2 linked regions of the Saccharomyces cerevisiae S288C genome follow. Changing the gene in region 1 together with any one later gene gives a genetic interaction. Each region holds a gene or a part of one and is shown on either strand. Other genes may lie near its edges.

The links. A genetic interaction does not mean that the proteins touch.
Region 2: mutations in RRT13 (region 1) and DPI8 together harm fitness more than expected from each alone (negative genetic interaction), as found in Saccharomyces cerevisiae (one large-scale study listed by BioGRID).

Annotation. Positions count from the first base shown.
Region 1 is NC_001137.3:288,418-291,468, forward strand, and holds RRT13 (Rrt13p), read left to right. Parts: upstream 1-1,824; coding exon 1,825-2,382; downstream 2,383-3,051. UniProt on the Saccharomyces cerevisiae protein: May be involved in the modulation of rDNA transcription.
Region 2 is NC_001142.9:158,977-161,489, reverse strand, and holds DPI8 (Dpi8p), read left to right. Parts: upstream 1-1,642; coding exon 1,643-1,867; downstream 1,868-2,513. Other genes in the region: MRS3 (Fe(2+) transporter), read right to left, coding at 1-871; sphinganine kinase LCB3, read right to left, coding at 2,073-2,513.

The DNA.
Region 1 (3,051 bases):
AAGGCACCTCTAACAATAAAAAAAACGACACCAGCAGGATTTGAACCAGCGCGGGCAGAGCCCAACAGATTTCAAGTCTGTCGCCTTAACCACTCGGCCATAGTGCCTATCATTATGAATTTCCCAAAAAAGAACCACTATCAGAGACATATAAAAATAAGAACACATCCACCGATATCTGTTACAATGAAACCCTAAAATATCATCCATTTGGGGTAGTATTCATGCTACCAGTATATCCTGTATGCGTAATATTATAGCCTTTTCCAACAGTGCACCCAAATATAATCACAAATCACCCAATTCTCAAATTCACTTGTTAAAATGAAAATACCAAAGCCTCATCATACCGTTCTATTGTCCATCTCCAACACAAAAGTACCATAATAATTTTCCGATTCGACACGAATACAGATAGATGGGCACATGGCAAACTTAGCTCAGTATGGGCTTGTAGGTTGTAAACGAGTCAGAAATTTCAACAATAAAAAATACATCAGATAGTGTTTCGATGTTCTTAATTACACGTGAATTATCAAAAACCATCAACATACCAGCCAACATCAGTGTAGGTGGAATAAAACTTTCTTACCATGTACAGTAAATGGACCATGACGCCGTGCACAAGCTTATGCATAATGAGCTAAGCGGGAAGACATTTTCAAACTACGTGATAGTTCCGACTGCCCTTTCAATTGCTAATGTAGCAATATGTTAGGAATGCAATATTCCAAAATGCTGTCTGTGTCAGTGAGAATAACAAAAACATTGAATAAACTTTTCTATGGTAATAACCACGCCAGATAAGGGCGTTGCCATCGTTTTCATTTTTTTTTTTTTTTCAAATGGTGGGGTCACCGTTGTGAAAAGAAACCTTTGATTCTCAACCATATCGGTACTCGGACTAATCACTTAAATCTTTCCAAGGGATTATCGAGAATGTCATAGTGCAAAATAATCTTAGCTTTCAATAATTTTTTCATTTGGAGTCACACTCCCGTTAAAACCTAGTCAACGGCTTCCACTTAAAGCTATCAACAAGGGGCAATTGATTTTGCATTTTCGTCTAAATGAAAGTTGCAGCCAGCAATTTACCCGAAGTTTAAATAAATCAATGCAAACCATGTTCAACTTAAACAGCAATCGCTTTCTATTACCTTGGAATTATATCAGAACGTCTATCTGCGAAGCTTTAATAAAGTACTGGAAGTTGTGTCTGAAATGTCTGTTTTGGTAAATTTGTTTGATCCTGATTATACACCTCAAAGGACCACGTTAAGTGGCCATATGACGAGTGTTATTGCGTGCTTGCAAGTTGAAGATAATTATGTCATTACAGGAGGATGTGATAAAACGATCAGAGTTTATAACTTAGTAAATAAAAGATTTCTTTTACAACTATCAGGTCATGATGGTGAGGTTTGGGCATTGAAGTATGCCCATGGCGGTATTTTAGTCAGCGGTTCTACAGGCAGAACGGTGCGAGTTTGAGATATTAAGAAAGGTTGTTGTACCCATGTGTTTAAAGGTCATAACTCTACGGTGAGGTGCCTAGATATAGTAGAATATAAAAATATCAAGTACATTGTTACTGGTTCGAGAGATAACACTTTGCACGTTTGGAAATTGCCCAAGGAGTCCTCCGTTCCTGATCATGGGGAAGAACATGATTATCCATTAGTCTTTCATACCCCTGAGGAGAACCCATATTTTGTTGGTGTTTTAAGAGGACATACGGCGACTGTAAGAACTGTCTCAGGCCACGGTAATATTGCCATTAGTGGCTCCTATGATAATACATTGATTGTGTGGGATGTTGCGCAAATGAAATGTCTATATATCTTGAGTGGACATACGGATCGTATTTATTCGACAATCTACGATCATGAAAGAAAAAGGTGCATCTCTGCCAGTATGGATACCACTATTAGAATTTGGGATTTGGAAAATATAAGGAATAATGGAGAATGTTCCTACGCAACAAATTCAGCATCGCCATGCGCCAAAATACTTGGTGCTATGTACACTTTGCGGGGTCACAGAGCCCTAGTCGGTTTATTGGGATTATCCGATAAATTTTTAGTCAGTGCTTCTGTAGACGGTTCAATAAGGTGTTGGGACGCTAACACTTACTTTCTGAAGCACTTTTTCGATCACACGCAGTTGAATACAATCACCGCATTGCACGTTTCTGATGAGGTATTAGTGAGTGGATCTGAAGGTTTGCTCAATATTTATGATTTAAATAGTGGGCTGTTAGTCCGTTCAGATACATTGAGTGGTGCTGATAATGTTTGGAACGTTAGTTTTAAGGACAACACACTTGTGGCAGCGGTAGAACGAGACAAGCGAAATCTTTTAGAAATTTTGGACTTTAGTTGAAGATTGATGTGAGAATGATGCAGAACTTACCTTGTCACGTTTGGAACTCAGTTGTACTTTTTCGGTGTAAACAAATATAAAACTTTAGAATTTACATTAATAAGTTATGTGCTATTTATTAGTTTAATATATCAACATTAATTACATGCGAGCTATGTATTATTAGCTCAATCAGCAGGACTAAAATCGAGGAAAAAGTAATTTTGTTTATGCCCAGTTCAGTTATCGTCCATTTGTAGCAAATGTGGTACAAGTTGACCCATATTTTCATGCATTGGGCCATGCAGTAATTATCACACTCACTTTGTCATAATGTATACAATGGCCGCTTATTTGCGACTCGTCTCATATTTTTCCTGAAACTGTAGCTGTGTGTAATATTATTCATTAACTTCGATAATTCGGCTACAGAAGACAAGAGCTACATCCTTACTGGTGCGAATAAATGACATAATCTGTCAAGAGTACCGAAGTAAAAGCAACGATTGCCGAACACATCTTCCTGAAGTATCATATGCCAATACAAGGTTTCAATAGGAATTATGAAAGCGGCATTATCACCCTTAATCTGAAATATGTAATGATGACGGTGCAGTATGTTGACTACATTGTAAAGTTGCACTTTCACTCAACTCATGAAATTGATGACATTAATCCTACGTGACTTAC
Region 2 (2,513 bases), on another chromosome or scaffold:
CTATCCTTGGTTTCCAACCTCTCCAAAACCCTTTCCAGCCATAAACTTGATATATGGCACTGGCTGCTTTACTAAAAGTATCCGCCTTTCTCATAATTTCCAACGAAACTGTTTGACTGCCCCTTATCTGCAGTACTGTCTTTATGCAGTCTAAAGGTGTTGTGATCGCCGCACATGTCGATCCGCTGATACTGCCACACAGACAATGTATGAGGGGGTTGTACTCATTTGATGGGTTTAAAAATTTTGTGGATGATTCATATATGACGAAATTAAATGCTGCAAATGGGATGTTCATTACTAGGGTGGTTGGGTAAGAATAATAAAATGCTGCCAAACCTTCAGATTGGTAAATCTGCTTTGTGGTTTGCCATACTGATGCCGAGGTATTGAGTTGGATTCTCTGTTTTATTGTGTCGAATGGGTTCATTAATGCGTCAGATGCCGTGGTGGCACAGGCACCACTGATAGCTGTCTTAAAAGGATGGTGCGTTTGCGTATCACTCGAATCGATAAGATTTTTTTTGCAGAACTCATACGTACCAAAATACACTGCATGCGCAGGTCCCGCACCTAGTATGACAGACTGAACACCCTTCCATAGGGCTAGAGTTCCTTCGGAAGTAGAGATGTGAGATATTTGCGAAAGCATATTCTTGGCAGACAGCGATTTCGCGTTGGCTGATTGTATTCGCGTCTTAAGGGCATCTATCGGGAACATCACTGAATGTTCCATTATACCAGCAAATGCACCCGCTATAAGTTGATGGTACAATGGCGCGTGGGTGGGGAGCGCCTCATAATCGGGTAGATCCATAGGTATTGCTGGAATTGGCCTTGTTGAATTATTACTCGACGAGTTTTCTACCATAATATCTTCTTTTTTTATAACATAAATATATTTACAGCAAACCTTAAGAGGTGTTAACGAATATGGGAATCGTGATTAATTAAGTGAAGTTACGATCCCAAGATAAAATAAGGAAGTTGTTGAAAGAGGAAAGAATCGATGAAGAAATGAACGACAAAATTACTTTTGTCAATTGTAGGGTACGAAACACCAAGAAATGCAATAAGTGCTATGTAAAGGTGATCCAGTCTTGGTTAGCACACACGCCCAGTTTCTCGAGAGACATAATGACAGTAAACGGTGAGTATAAAAAAAAAGCAAAAAAAAAAGAAAAAAGGAGCAATCGTTCGTTACAAACGATCTAGACTTGATGAAAAAAAACCCTAAAATGTCTCAGACCTAAAACAAAACCCTAAGAAGCACGTGATACAAACCTGTCACGTGCAACATTATGGGGTATGGGTGTGTCACACATTTGAAAAAAAGTGGGCGGAACGTGTGTGGGGGGGTGTCATGCCATTTCCACATTTGGTTGCTCTGGAGATAAGATCCACGAATGAAGGTGAGGGGCATGACTTCAGGGATCAATTTCCCGCCCGCAAGTTAGTTTTTCCGGTGGGAGCCGAGCATCAAGCATGACCACTTCCTGGTGCAGAGAGAAAGTTTCACACATATAAAAGAATAAACCGAAAGTAATGTAGGGAGATGTTTAATGTGATTTTTCACCTTTGTTTTAATGATTACGCACAAGTTTAAATATTACATTCATAAGACAGTAAATAAACGTATTAAATGATCGCCCAAAGTACCAGATTAGCCGCCGCCGTCTCTTCTTCAGCCGCCTCCGCGGGTGTCTCAAGGATAGCCGCTAGCGCCATGGCCAGCACTATTTTCAAGAGATCTCCGGGCAACTCGTTCAACTCTTTTAAGGAATATAGAGAAAATGCCAAGACATATGGTCCCTTGAGTGCCTCACTAGCTACCAGAAGACACTTGGCTCACGCGCCAAAGTTGTAGGCGTATCTTAATTATGCTCTTTTCTTTCCTGGTTTATTAATGATGATGACTTTAACCTATTCTTCTTTTGGGGTCCTGGTACGGTGCCTCAAATTTTTATACAACATGACTTTTTCAGTTACATATTTTTTTATAAGTACTTAATTTAGAAACGGATACATTTACACTACATTTTGTCTATTTTTTTTTTTTTGTTCCTTTTGTTTTATGCTATATTTAAGAGGGAAAATAGGACGGGGCTGCACATTACAACGGTGAATGGAACGCCAGCATAGATAATAAATCTACCTAGAATGTCAATCTTGGGCTCTCCAATATATAATGGACATTCGTACTTGCTTGCACCTTCTTTGTGCGTGGCCTCCAGTCTTTTTCTTGCCGCAACGTTTCTGTCATCCTTCAGATGGAAAACTTTGATCAATAACGTGTAGATCATCGGTTTGCTGATCACGTACTTCCAGATAACAACGCACGGTAGGCCCACCAGCAGCCTGGCTAAGGTTAACCGCCAGCCACAGTTAGGTTCCAAATTGTACACCAGGGTGACTCCAAACACTTTGCCCAACCAATCACAGCATTCAATACCTGACACAACGCCCATGAACGCAACACTATCTTGGAAGCAAGGACATTCGTCTACGGGCTT